2 linked regions of the Alligator mississippiensis genome follow. The protein of the gene in region 1 purifies or fractionates together with the protein of each later gene. This does not show direct contact. Links are inferred from orthologs where the notes say so. Each region holds a gene or a part of one and is shown in the gene's direction. Other genes may lie near its edges.

Region 1 (7,336 bases):
TGATGCCCAGAAAGCATAACAGTGAGAAAGCCTAGACTTAAACTGGTGATTTAAGAGCCTAAAAGGTTAGGAGCTTTGCTTTCTATTTGGAGAAGAATGTTTAACTTAAAATGCCCAAGTGCATATCACGTCATCACTATCTCTTAAAGAAAAGTCCGACAGAATTCAGCGGAGAGGAAACCCAGAGTATAATATGAAAGGGTTCTATGGACATGCAAGTGGGTTATACGAGAAATATTTCTCTAATCCAGTCCATGTACCCCACAGAATTCTGAACTAATTCTCCATTAAATTGCATACAATGGTTGAAAAAGTCTATAAAGACATCAAACATTAAACTCGCTAGGACTTTTCAGAGGAGTATAATAAATTGACCTGTCAGGCCAGGCTTCTCTTGGTCTACTATCTGGTACCACGTAAACCAATACAGCCTGTTCTATGGCCAGGTTGTCGGCGACTAAACTGGCACCCCAACCTGGGCTAGTCTGGGTGAGGAGGGATGTGGACACCCAGCGAACTAAAAACAAGGCCTGTCAAAGGGCATGAGATCCCTGTGAGCCAAATGTCATCCATGCCTGGAGAGGAGATGAGCACCACCAGATCACTTTGCCCAAAGAATCACCGATGATGCAGAGCAACTCAACTAACCTCAGAGTGGAGGATGAGAGGAGACTCAGGCTGCGGCAGCAGCAATTTTATCCAGTGCTGGATGCAGCCTGTGCCCAGTGCCAGTCCCTGATGGGATAGGCAGCCTGAGCCTCCTTTCATCCGGCATGCAGATCCAAGGGCTCGGACCTCCGGGAGGAGGCTGGCACAGCCCAGCAGCCCTCCCAGGGGTGCAAGCCCCCGGATCTGCACCCCAGATGAAAGGAGGCTCAGGCTGCCTATCCCATCAGGGACTGGCACTGGGCACAGGCTGCATCCAGCACTGGATAAAATTGCTGCTGCCGCAGCCTTAGTCTCCTCTCATCCAGCACAGATCTGGGGGCTCGCACACCTGGAGTCCAGCACAGCCCTGTAGCCCTCCCAGGGCTGTGAGCCCCTGGATCTGCACCCCAGATGAGAGGAGGCTTCCCCTTCCACCTGGGACCGGTGCTGGGCAGCCTGAGTCTCTCCTCATTCAGCGTGAAGATCCGGGGGCTCGTACCCATGGGAAGAGTCTGGCACAGCCTGGCAGCCCTCCCGGGGGTGGAAGCCTCCAGATCTGCACCCCAGATGAGAGGAGGCTGCCCTGTCACCTGGGACCAGCGCTGGGTGCAGGCTGCACCCACCACCAGAGAAAATTGCTTCTGTCACTTGTCTGAGGAGGAAGGCAAACAAAGCCAGTGCTGTGCTCCATGGGGCTGGCAGAACAGATCAGAGCCCAGCAGCAGGAGGCAGGCAGAGTGGGGCTGGGCCCCGTGGGGCTGGCGGAGCCGACTGGTGCACAGCCTGGCAGTGGGAGGCGGGGAGAGCCGGCACTGCACTCTGATCAGGTCCGCCAGTTCCATGGAGCGCAGCCCAGTAGCAGGAGGTGGACAGAGCCAGTGCTGTGCTCCACCTCCCACTGCCAGGCTGAGCTCCATGGGGCTGGCAGAGCTGATCGGAGCATAGCCCAGCAGCGGGAGGTGGGCAGAGCCGGCGCTGCACTCCATTCAGCTCCGCAGCCCCACGGAACACAGTCCAGTGGTGGGAGGCGGGCAGAGCTGGGGCTGTGCTCTGTGGGGCTGGTGGAGCCAGCTGGTTCTGCCCACCTACCAGCGCCGAGCTGTACTCAATGGGGCTGGCTGAGCCGAGCAGAGCGCAACCCAGAGGTGGGAGGTGGGTAGAGCTGGCGCTGCCCTCTGGTCAGCTCCACCAGCCCCACGGAGCACAGCCCAGTGGTGGGAGGCAGAGAGAGCCAGGGCTGCGCTCCCCGCTGGGCTGAGCTACATGGGGTTGCGGAGCCGCTCGGAGCACAGCCCTGGCTCTCCCCTGCCTCCCACCACTGGGCTGCTTCGAAACTCGAAACATTTTGAAACTTGCAAAAGATTTTGAGTGCCTTCGTTTCATTTCAAAACTGTTTTGATGCTTTTTGTTTCATTTCAATTTCACTGTTTCAAGCTCAAAATGTGTCAAAACAGCTTCGAAACAAAACACTTGGCGAAATTTTGCACAGCCCTAGTTGTTACAGCATCTAAAGTGCCCCAATGATCCCAGTGGCCTCAAGACTGACTTGACAAAAAATTGGCTGATCCAAATCATGGATCTCAATGCTGCCTTTCAGACCTATTGTTCTAGTACATGCATGGGAAGAAAGACCTGGATGATCAAATCTAACTAACAACCAGGTTGTTACAATGGGACTCATTCATAGCCCATAAAGGCAAAGAAAAATCATTACACGCTTTATATCAGGCTCTAAGGTCCTTAAGTTGATAGAACAGCAATCCAACTGTATGCACTTGCAGAACTAAAGAGCACCATTGTAGAAGATGCATATATTTTTTAAATCAAGGAACATGAGCTCTCTTTTCTTTTCCCCATTCTTGGTTTAGGCTAGCTAACAAGCATGTTTTCTCCACAGATACCAAGATCAAAGGACGTCAGTAGTCAAACACACTTGAAATCATTTGCAAAAGTAAATGATATCTAGGATTGTTGTCTGCCCTGGGTACCAGCCTATCCTCCACAGATAACTACAGTTCACTGGGAACCTCCCAGCAATATCCTTTCCATTTCTCCCTCTTCTTTTTCCTCAGCAATGAAATAGGAGCGGCTTATTTTATTGCAAGGAAACTTAATTGTAATCAGTCTCCTTAAAAAAAGGTTTTGAAAAATGTCCCCTCATTAGTTGCTTAACCTTCCTGAATAATTAATGTATCAAAATTTTAAAACAGTCATTTGTCTTTGCTGCTGCATGTCATAAAAATGTGCAGTAATGTAACCAAAGCTCAGTCTTCTGGAAAGCTAGGAAATCAATCCCATTACCTGTGCTAAGTCATGATGAAGAATAGGGGTGAGAGTACTTAACTCTGGATCATTATTATTTAAAGCCTTCCGTAAGAAATGTCACCAAATGTGCAACATACATCACAATGTGGTGACAACACCTCAAAATTAGTTGGGTTTTGTTTTTTGGTTGTTTGGGGTTGTTGGGGTTTTTTTGTTTTTTGTTTTTTTGTTTGTTTGTTTGGGGGGGGGGGGGTTGACTCGTGTTTCTTAGACTTTCTCCTGAATTAGTCAATTTAAAATTTCCTCCTCCTTTAAACATACAAAATAGTGTATAGACATTCTTTGTTTTTAAGCTGCAGCAAAAGTAAAGCATGTTCTGCTGTTCAAAAGCAGGATCACAGCATTCTGCCTGAGCTGTAGGAAGGCCCATCTGCTTATCATGCTGAGCTCACTGGTCTATATCCTACCTTAAATTTCAAGAATTTCAACACTCATTGCAGTCACTGAGGCCAAAATTAAACCCTCATTGGTCTGCAATTAAACAGCAAATCAAGCTGGCTAGCATAACACAAGCTCTCCTCTTGGAACATTGATCTTTTCCCCTTTCCTCTCTCCCAAAAATTCCTCCACTTGAAAATTTCTAATACAATGAAGGCAATACATGTTATTCAGTGATTCTTCTCCTAAGATTTTTTGTTTGTGAATCTTGGGGCCCAACTCTCTACTGCCTTACATCTTGGGTCATCACTTCCACTTCTGGAATAGTCCATAAAATCTAAACAGTGTTTTGTCTACCATGCACAGGTTGGGATCATTACATAAAGTGCAAGGCAAAGAAGTTGGCACTGGGCTGGAGACTTGCAACCAATTTCTGTTCTCTGATTTGCTGAAGCCAGATCTATCAAATCTGTACAGCTGTTACCAAGACCAGCATGCGGCTCATCCCAGAATTTCAATATATCCCAGTCCTCTCACACTAGCAAAGATTGGCTCTTAAACTTTTTATAAGAACTCCTGTTTGATGGACTTTCAGCCTTTGTGGGTGGTGGAATAATCCTGGTGGAGAGACGAAAACACTCCCATCTGCCTGATGGGAAAACAAATCTGAAAATAAGCCGGAGACCATACTCTTCAAATAGTGAGAATAAAAATAAAAACAAGTGCTAAGTTAGGATTTTTAATAACCCCTAAAATGAAAATGATCAGTAAGAAAGATACTAAATAACAGCACTGGCTTTATATTACTCTTACAGGCCATTTCCTTTTATTCAGATATGTATTTGTTACACCCTCTGAAAGGCAAGTCTAGCAAAATGACTCTAAGTTTATCTTGTTTCCTCCACTCCCTTTTCTCACTGGCATTACTAAGGTTTGTAACAATAACAGGATGCAGGGATGCAGGATGGGAAAAGCTGACCCCCAGCTGGGAAACCTTGGAGACTGGAAAGCTGAACACTCCCAGTATTACCTAGTGAAATTAAATCCTGATTTTATATCTGTTCCTCACTCTCCGAGTGGTGCTCATGATTTCTGGATATTGTTCATTTCATGTTCTTAATTTGGGATAAAACTGAAGCTTCACCAACTCCTGGGGATCAGGTAAGGGACAGAGGATATTATTACTTTTAATTTCAAGAATTTTTCCTCCCAGATAGCTGACACTTTGGAACTGGCTTGAAGTTATTTGATGATTCTGAAGTTCATGTTCTGCATGTTAGATGTATTTAGAGCACCCTTGGGGCCCAGTATCGCTGGCAGAATAACTATTGACACCAATGGAGTTACTGCCAATTAACACTGAAGTGAGAGGAGAATCGGTTTCTCTACATCTGCATCTAATGGTCCCAGACTGTGAAGAATATTTAGACTCAAAGAAGTGATTCTTTTGGTTCAAAATGATCAAATTATGCTGCCAGTAGATGTTTTCAATAAAACAGAAAAACAGAAATCAATGCAACAAATTGCACTTGGGGACCCTTTAAGAAGGGATTCCAGTTGCATTACAGACAGCAATAGGCTTGATATTTTGTCATTGAACTAGAATACACGATGTTATATCTTGCTTTTTTTAGACATAAACATATTGGATGAAGGTTGCATAGGTCCTTGGCATTCTTTTTCTGTTCAAAATGAAATAGTGGAATTGTAGTACGGTTGGAGCTAAGAACCAAAGGATAGCACCTCTTATGTTCATTGGCTGCCACTAGGCAGATCTGTATGACAGGAGGTTCACTTTTAAAGACTTAGTGACATTTTCAAAAGCAGCTAAGTGACTTATGCTCCTAAGTCTTATTTTCAAAGTGAATCATGCATTTTAGGAGCCTGATCTCCACTAACTTTCAATGAAACTAAGGCACCTAATTGGTTTAGGCACTTTTGAAAATGTTACCTTGGATCATTCAAGTTGTATGACACTCATTTAACAACTAGGGGAAAAACCTCATAGATTTCTCTAGGAAACCTCTGGCTTTCAGCTGTCCAAATTTACCATGTTTTCTGGTAAGTTATTTCATGAAGAAAGCCGTGACACAAGACATCAGTTGAAAGGGTTTTTATGCTGCCATAAGCATATAATGTTTTACACAGGAGATCCCTTGACTAACAAGTTTGCAAAGACAAATGTTTATGAATAAGAGATGAATAAATGCATCTTTTTGGGTTGAAATTATAGTCCATGCGTCAGGAGATATAGTGCCTTACTGTGCTGTGTTTAATGCTGTATAAAGAAAAGGAAAAAATGAAGGCTTCAGGAAAAAGACAGAATAGGTTGAACTTTTGTGAGAAAACCTGAAGAAGTCTCAGCTATTCAAAGCATTGAAGTTGGCTGCTACTGAAGTTAACTTAAGTAGGATTATTTGATTCATTTCTGCCTCTTCTGATTATAACTGCTGATATTATAGTAGTTGTTATTTACATTTATAAAAGCACCTACCCTGTGATTCCTTGTGGGGAAAATTTAGGAAAATCTATTAACAGAAGCAACTCAAGATATATACAAAATCTTAACATGTTAATTAATACTATGAATCAAAACAACTAATACGGCAATACAAATGCTTGCTTTAAAAAGGTTTGGTATCTTTAAGGGTGGCTTTGAATCCTGAAACAAGGGGCAAACTAAAGAAGAAAAGGACATAAGGCTAGGTTTCTTCTGTTTCCGTTCCCCACAACCTACTGAGAACAGTCAAAGAGGTTGCATGCAATAAAACAAATGAACTGGAATACAAAAAATAAACTCTCAGTACTCTGATGCTAATCTGAGCTCTGTATGGAGTGCTCAGATTTATTTGGCTTTGGAAATGTAACTGCACTGCAAACTGAAATATTTTTCAGCTGATGCTTTCCATTTTATAACAATAGTACTTCAACATTATGTTAAAACCTTCATTTCAATATTTAAAATGCAAATTGAGTCACAACAGATCTATTTCATTGAATAATCTGGATATTTTGTATAGGAACAAAAGCTAGGTTCAATACCCAAGGAGAAGTAGATGCAGAGAAATTTTCATTTAAATAGTTAATAGCTTTGAAAAATATTTGCCAAAAGAACATGCCTGTCTCATATCCTGCTTTTGTTGAGAGGAATAGAGCAGCTCAAAACAGGATATAAGTACATGGATTTGTATACTTTCTATCTCAGAAGCTCATCTGGTTTATAGCCCTTACCAAGATAGACTATAAGAATATAAATTAATATTCAAAAGAGAATACTTTCCCTTTTCAAAAGAAAAAGAGAGAAAAAAATCATAGAAATACCTTTTGTTGTCAGGTTACTTATCTAAAACACTTAAAGCAAGCAGATAGTGCATTATTTTTGTGGAAGGGAAAGCCTATTAATGTTTAGTTATGACATATTTTAAAAGTGATTAATCAATATGATTACTGTAGCCATCTTTTCATCATTTTGGTTTCTAGAAATTTATTTCAGAAAGGTCCAAATTGTAATGGCAAGCAGGAAAAGAAAAAAAATCTCTCCTGCTAACTTCATGAGATATCTGTGTTAAGTGGGAATATTTCAAGCTGGGTAAAAAACATAAGATTGACAGGGTACTTTCCATTCTTCTTTCCTGGATGTTTAAAATGAGATGAGCCCTAATAGTTTATCACACAACGCATGCTGGGATGATTAGTTTTCTTCCTGCACTATTATGTGTCAGAAACTGGTTATTTGTACAAATTGGAGATTTGCCAAGCTACAGAGGGGGAAGATTTGTAAAGGCACAAAAAGACACTCAGAAACCCAATTCACATCAACTCAAAGTGGCAGTTGGGCTCTTACCTCCCACTGATGCCTTTGAAAAAGTCCCTCCAGAATCAGACTTGTATGTGAATATCAAAAACACCCTGCTTAGGTCTAGACCCCAAATTTAGTTTGGCTCACTACTAAGAGAAGAGGGTGTTTGCTCAGCGCTGCTGTACA
Region 2 (7,052 bases), on another chromosome or scaffold:
CTGAGCTGTGAGTGGCTTGTCTGGGGGGGTGCGGCTCCTACCGTTGCGTGCACCCTGGGAGGCATGGGGGCATGTGCCCCTGGATCTGCATGGGGCAGCCCGCAGCGGCAGCCCACCCTGCCTCACACAGATCTGGAGGCACAAACTCCCCATGCCCTCCCGGGGTACATGCAGTGGTGGAACCCTCCACTGCCTCCCTGCAGCCCCTGGACGAGCCACAGCCCAGGTCCTGTGCCCTGGTCTGCCCCAGTTGGGCAGCACCTGCCCCAGCCCCACTCCCTGCCCCCAACCCTTCCCTCGCAGACTTACCTGTTGCAGTGGGGCGCGTGCACATGCTCAGCCCCCCCCCCCCCAAATTTTTTTTTTGTCCCTATGCCAATGGAGAGCACCAAAAACATCAGCAACCTCGGCTTGTAAGATGGTGTGCTAGGGGTGGATGGTGGGGGCAGCTGCCAGGAGCGCAATCCTTGTTGTGGCAGCACAGCCCCAGCCCCTTCCCCACTGTCCGCCCTGAGGTGTGCGTGCCAAGCAAAATGCCTTTGTGTGCTACACTCTGCCACCCATGCCAAGGGTTACCTACCCTGATGTAAAGTTTCATAAGCAACAGCGTACTTAAATGCTACTGGGGATTACCCATTTCAAATATATGTAGCCTATTTCCCCTACCTCATTCTTGCTTAGCAGTGGCATGCACATTTATTTATTTTAATCTTTCTCCATAAATCAGCCATACTCTCCCAATCGTTCTTCCACTGCCTCCAGCTTGCCAACACCTTTCTGCTAATGTATTATCTAGAACGTAATTATGCAGACAAATAACCTGACAGCTGGGGACAAAGTGGCTTCACGTTACCTTTGTGTCTTCTTGATTCTGAGGCCGGCTTGAACATATATGTGATAGCACTCTGCAGACTCCATATCATTGGCAAATTCACAAGCAGCCAGAATGGTTCAAAGGAGCCATTGTGGACCAAAGAATCATCCTAATATTAAAGATGTAGCTACATCACAATTGCAGCTGAAGCTGCCACGTTTTTGTCCTTTGATGTAATGTGCTCAGCCCCAAATCATGGCAGCCTCTTTTGCTTCCAAACTCATGCCTAATTTCAGCAATGACTACTGACTTCCATTCCTAGATCTTTGAAAGCACTAATGCTTCCTCATTTTATTAATCTCATGCAGCACTGAATTTTGGAATTAGGTTTCTTCTGACAGTTTGTTAAACCTTATGCTGTCATTTCCTGCCCATGTCTCTAATCTCTCTAGATCTCTACATTTTTTGCTGTGACAAAGCGATGTTTGCAACACTTCTTGATTTAGTGCCTTTAAAGTCAATAGAAGCGGTGTTGTGTCCTTTGTATCCTCTGTTGATTTAATAGGCATGCTGTTTACATCTGATACCTTCCAGATCTACCTGAAATATATCATTAGCACAAGGCCAAACAGAGATCCCTGCACCCTAATTAGATGTCCCTCCACAAACTGATGCTTATCTCATCATTCTGTTTATCATATGTATGCTGATTATTTTAATTTGTTTACAGACCTTGGGTCTTCAATATACATAGCCTTGACTACAAAAGGGATTTTCTGTAATTCTCCTGCCATTGCTCCTTTTCCTGGTGGCATTCCCCTGGTGTTAGACAGAGTAAGTTTGTGAGTGTAGGTGGACCACTGGTGATTTTACCTTTGGGTCATCTAGACTCGCTGTGAGCATGATCTAGAGGTAAAAATGGATGTGGCTAGTCTATGCAGGAGCGCTCACTGTTTCCCCTGCACTTTCAGTGCAGTAGATAGGCAGAGTTGTACCAAGCAGATCTTTTTTTGAGCTTGCATAGAGGCAAGAATTGCATGCTAAATGGCCTGGGCTTATTTGGCAGCAGCCTGGCCCAGGTTACATGCCTGAGCCACACTGAACTGGGGCTTAGCCTACACTACAGGATAGCATAGTCTTGCTGAGAAGACTTTTGAGTACCTAGAGTCTAAGTTCCTCTAGATCAGTGGTTCTCAACCTTTTTTGTACCAGGACACATTTGTAAACGTTTGATGGCCAGTCCTGACCCAGTGTCCCTCACTCCCAACTGGCTGCCCCCACCCCCAGACTGTAACCTCTCAGGGTGTGTGTGTTTGGGGGGGGGGGGGGGGGGGGCAGGGTGCCCAAGCAGCCCCTTGCAGGCTGGACCTCTGTCAGCCTGTAAGGGAAAAGCCACGCTTTCCCACATTTTTCTTCTTTAAAGGAGAATCCATTTTTAAAGTTTGTTCGTAATCCTTTCATATATTCTCATGACCCACTTTTGGGTCGCAGCCCATGGGTTGAGAAATGCTGCTCTAGAGTGACAGAATCCCTCCTCCTGCCAACAGTTACCCAGCTTCTCGAGTGGAATATGAAGAGCACCCTGGGCTTAAACCAGAGAATAAAAGGATTGCTATCCTTGAAAGTAAGGAGCATCTGGAATTTGCCCAGTGAATCAGATAGAGGACCTCATCTTTAAAGGTATGGAGCATCCATTACTCTCAGAGATTTCACCATGTACTATTTAATACAGCGGTTCCAAATCTGTGGTACAGGTACCACCAGTGGTACGCAGACAACCTGTCAGTGGTACGCGTTACCAGATTTATTATAATGACTTTATATGACAAAAATTTGCTGGTGGTACTTAAGTTTGAACTGAAAAATTTGCTAGTGGTACTAAAGGTTGTATTGTTTTTAATTGGTGGTGTGCAATCTCAGATTTTGGGAACTACTGATTTAATATATAGATTTAGCCTAGTGGCTGTTTACACAGTGATAATCTTCATTGCTATCTTGGTGCTAACTAGAGTGTAGGTATGTTAATATTAGGGTCAGGCCTGTACAGGTTGAATCAATAACCACAGCATCCAGACTTGACCCTGCTCCACTTGAAGTCCATGATAATTCTATTTTTGATATTCCATCCCACCATGTGCATTGTTAAATAAAAACTAAAGCACCTAATAAAAAAATCCTCTATTTAGAACTGAATTTTCACATAAATATTCAAGCCATGAGTCCTTCCCAGCAACTCCCACACTTAGCTAAGTGCTATCACATAGCACTAGTTCTCTCACAGGTTGGCACTCTTAGAAATGTAATCAAAGCAAACATCCTTCACAGCCACAATGCAAAAGTTTAGAGCATTTTTCTCCCTCTCTGTATTAATTGGTGGTTTGTAAATGTAATTTACAAGCTGTGAAGTGTATTGAATTAGTAATAGAAATTGTATTGAATTATACAATACAATACAGTAATACAAACTGTACTGAATTAGAAATACAAATCAAAGGAGCTCTCTTCTTCACTGTTTTTTAGGAGAAAGCAGGGAGTGAAAATTCCTAATCTGCTTTACCCAAAAATCAGTGTGCTTAATTGCTAGCAAAAACCTCTGGTTGAAATAAAACAGGAAACCACCCCTCAACCAAGATTTGATGGCAACTCTCACAATCTGGGCTCATATAGATAAATGTAGTCTAATCAAGGTTGCATTTCAAATCTCAGCCTCTCTTATCGGTTGATTATAAGCATGTTTCCCAACCCTCCTTTTTGCAATTCCCGTTCTCCTTTTGGGGTGCAAAGGAGGGAGGAGAGCACAGGAAACAACTACAAATATGTATTTGAGTTTGCCAACACAGAGAGAGGAGTGAAAGAAGGGAAAGAAAAGACAAATGAAGAGTGCTGGTAGCTGAGCCACATCTATACCCTAATGATTATCTTTTCAAGTTTGCTTTGTCTTTTCTCGCAGCTATTTTTTATTTCCTGCTCTGATTTTGTTTTCAGTTGTCTTCACCCAAAAAAGTTATTTTTCTGTCCCTTCTTACTCTCTCGCGCGCCCCTCTCCACCTTTCCTTTTTTGTTTTTTTTCCTCATTTTTTCCCCCTTTTTTTTTTTTTTTTTTTTTTTTTTAATTCCTAGACTAAAGTTTCCTATTGGATGTTTTCGGGTCCCTGATTGATGCCTGCTTCCCATTGGAGCTTTGCAGAAGCTGACATCACTTAGGGAAAGAGGGGTTGGGTTGGCAAGCTTAGTTTGTCACCACCCAGCTTGCTTTGCCTTTGGCTGGGTGCAACTTCCATTTTAGGTGTTGGATCTTGAAAGAAGGGGAAAGAAAAAAAAACCGCCAGAGAGAAAGAAAGAAGAGAAGATCCCAGGCAAGGGAGAGGTGGAAGAAGAGATTGCCGCTTTGCTCTTTTTAAATTCATTTGATCAGGGATTGGGCTCTCGTTTTCCTGTTAGGGATTTCTTGGGAAACTCGACTTTAGAGTTCTTTGGTGTGGCTTTTTTTTGTGGTGCGTGTGTTTGTAAAGGGCGAAAAGAAGGCTTCCACCCAGGGTCTTTTTTTGTTGTTGTTGTTGGATATTGTCATGCTGAGATATTAAAGAGAGGAGGCAGAGGAATAACCCGGCTGACAACTTCTCCCCCTCCCTCTTTCCATTTCTTAATCTGCTGCTTTGAAGAGCGGGGGAAAAAGATACAAGGAGGAGAAACCAACTTGGAGACTCTTGTTGGTGCAACTTTGAGAGGGGAGAAAGCCAGGGTAAGACTAGTTTCTTTCTTTTCGTTCTTTTATTGTTTTAAATGATGGTGGTGGCTGCTGTTGGTTTTTTAACTATTTCTGTTCTGGGGAGGTGAGTGTATCTGATGCAAACTAATACACAACTCCTGGACTGCGGTGTTGCAAGAGGGCTGATTTTATTTATATATCTATATTTATATATAGATATCCCCTATGTTTCCTAGGGGAAGGAATTCAGTCATGTTTAAAAAGGAAGCTTCAAGTTTGTTTGCACTAAGTAGGATATTTCTTTTAAAACTTTGGGAAAACTGAGAATTTCAGGGTGTGTTTTTTGTTGTTGTGTTTTGTTTTGTTTTTTTTGTTGTTTTTTTTTTAACTTGGTCAGGTCTCTCTTTTCAAGTATTCTCACTGGGAGTGTGGTTAAGCTGCTTTCTCCAGTACATTTTTTAGACCCACACTTTCTGCATGGGTGGATCCCTTTTTTCTTCCAGGTATAGTTGGGTGGGGACCTTTCTCTTAACCTTCTAAAAAGAATCCATGTTGAAGGAGAACTTCCCTCTTGATTTTTTCCTTTTTTTTCTGGGGGGGGAGGAGAGGAGGGTGAAATAAATGCAGGAGGTTTTTCCCTACCAGCCCCTTCAAGGATTCCAAGCTCTGATTGACAACTTGCTTGTTGACTTGCTCGCTCTTTCCCCCCTCCAAAAAAAAAAAAAACTTTACTGTTTTTGAAGTGTGTGGTAACTTAAGCACAGTACATTTTTTTTTCTTCCTTTAAATTCTTTCAAAAGATCATATACATTTGGTAAATGGGATGCATCAAAATAGCTTGGTAAGCAAACAGGCTTGAGTCAGTAATGTAGGAATGCAATGTAGTAAGATTTAGATGGCATTTAAAAGAACATCTACTTATACTCCCCGTAACCTGCCTTGAGCTCTTGTAGTTTTGTCTGGCATGGTGCTGTGATTTGGACTTGTTGGGTTTTGCTAAGAATGTTATATGAAAGCAACACACTAGGGTTTAGGATCCCCTGGTAGTGATAGTATGGGGTCTTTTTTCCCACCTCTCTAAATTTTGTAATTTCACCATAAAAAAGAGAAGTATCTAGTTTCAGTTTAATTGTGGCAGGCTAGGGTAGGGAACTAGACTGTGCTTCTGTATTCAGAATCATTACAGGGAATGCAGTGTGTGCTTAATGTAACAGTTCTGGAAATATGGTATGCTTTCTTTTCTCGCTTTGCTGTGCTAAGATGGTAATGCCTTATCTTAGATGACTAGATTTCATAGCCAGAGATTCTTGGAGGGGTGTGTGTAGGGGGGGATTTTTCTAGGTGAAGAAAACTAGGTCCTGGACCCCTTAAGACCCTTGTCTTATTCTGTATAATTAAACACCTGCCTCATTTCCCCCCAGCAAGGTCTTGGATATAGCAGAACAAGGAAAACGTTGTCCTACTTCAAGCAAATGTTTCTAGGGCTATTTGGGAGTGGTCCCTTTCAGTCCTGGGTTATGCTTTGGCATCTGTGGGGAAAGACCATCGAAGGCACTCTGAAAAGTAGTTTCAGAAGGATTGTGTCTTGTGGTAAAGGAGCAGCACAGTGTTGAGAGGCTTGGCTTGGGGTCTCAGCCTTTCAGTTTGCTTTGTATTGCTGTCTAACCCCCCCCCAGTTCCTCACCTCCCATGTCAGACATTTGACTGGGTTCTGGCGTGTCACTACTTTGAGCGAGGCATGAACTAGGAGGCTTTTCCCTCCTGCCCCCAAAACAAAGGAAGTTTGTGTGCCAGCCTCGCAGCTCTCTTGCAAGGGAATGAGAGAGTATAGCTCATCAGACAGGCATTTAGCATTAGAACAAGGGTTGTCTGGTGTTACAGACAGCGTCCTGTCTTTCTTCCCTGCTCTCTCATCATAATATTCCCTTTGTGTCAGAGGAGGGGGTAGGGGAGGTTTCTTATGTGTTGGGAGCAGGGAGTATTTTGGTTATGCAGATCTTTGGGGGCTTCTGAGCAAGGAAGGGGGTGGCTAGGGCCGAGTATCCTGAACTTTAAATCTTTTTTTTTCTGTGATGCTCAGGATCTTAATCTGTGTGGGAAGGACGAAGGGATCGGCTTTGTGCATTTGCAAGGGGGAACTCCACGTAGACCAGGCTTAACAATTTTAGCTCTGCCCTGGCTAGCTTATCTCTCTTCCTACTCTGTCTCCTGCTGTCTAATTTGCCTCCTCTTCCTTTGTTCTTTCAGGGAAGTGAATTGTATGTCTAGGGAGGGTCAAAACTATTGGGTGGAGCTCATCCTTGCGAATGGGACAGTTCTGATCTGAAAAAAATCTTCCTGATACCCTGACTAACAAGCGATGCTGAAATTCCCTCAATAAAAGAATAACTGCACAGCCGGGGGCCCTGGGTTCGTCAGGCCATTTTTCTTTAGGTCTTACTGGCAACACCTTCATCTGGTAATATCTGTCCCTCCTCCCCCTTCTGTGCCTCTTGTCCTGAGGGATTGGTGTCATCTTCTAATGCTCTT

The links. Proteins that work in one complex are often made in the same cells at the same time.
Region 2: the proteins of CDH5 (region 1) and CTNND1 purify together in Homo sapiens (affinity purification with western blotting; 3 studies listed by BioGRID and IntAct, counting the BioPlex papers as one, with this or other methods). This does not show direct contact. The link is inferred for Alligator mississippiensis from reciprocal best matches to the Homo sapiens genes CDH5 and CTNND1.

What each region holds. Positions count from the first base shown.
Region 1 is NC_081833.1:63,086,197-63,093,532, reverse strand, and holds the start of CDH5 (cadherin-5), read left to right. Parts: upstream 1-4,329; 5' UTR 4,330-4,512; intron 4,513-7,336. UniProt on the Homo sapiens protein: Cadherins are calcium-dependent cell adhesion proteins. They preferentially interact with themselves in a homophilic manner in connecting cells; cadherins may thus contribute to the sorting of heterogeneous cell types.
Region 2 is NC_081825.1:172,458,323-172,465,374, reverse strand, and holds the start of CTNND1 (catenin delta-1), read left to right. Parts: upstream 1-4,041; 5' UTR 4,042-4,181; exon of another isoform or gene 4,182-4,476; 5' UTR 4,477-4,556; intron 4,557-7,052. UniProt on the Homo sapiens protein: Key regulator of cell-cell adhesion that associates with and regulates the cell adhesion properties of both C-, E- and N-cadherins, being critical for their surface stability.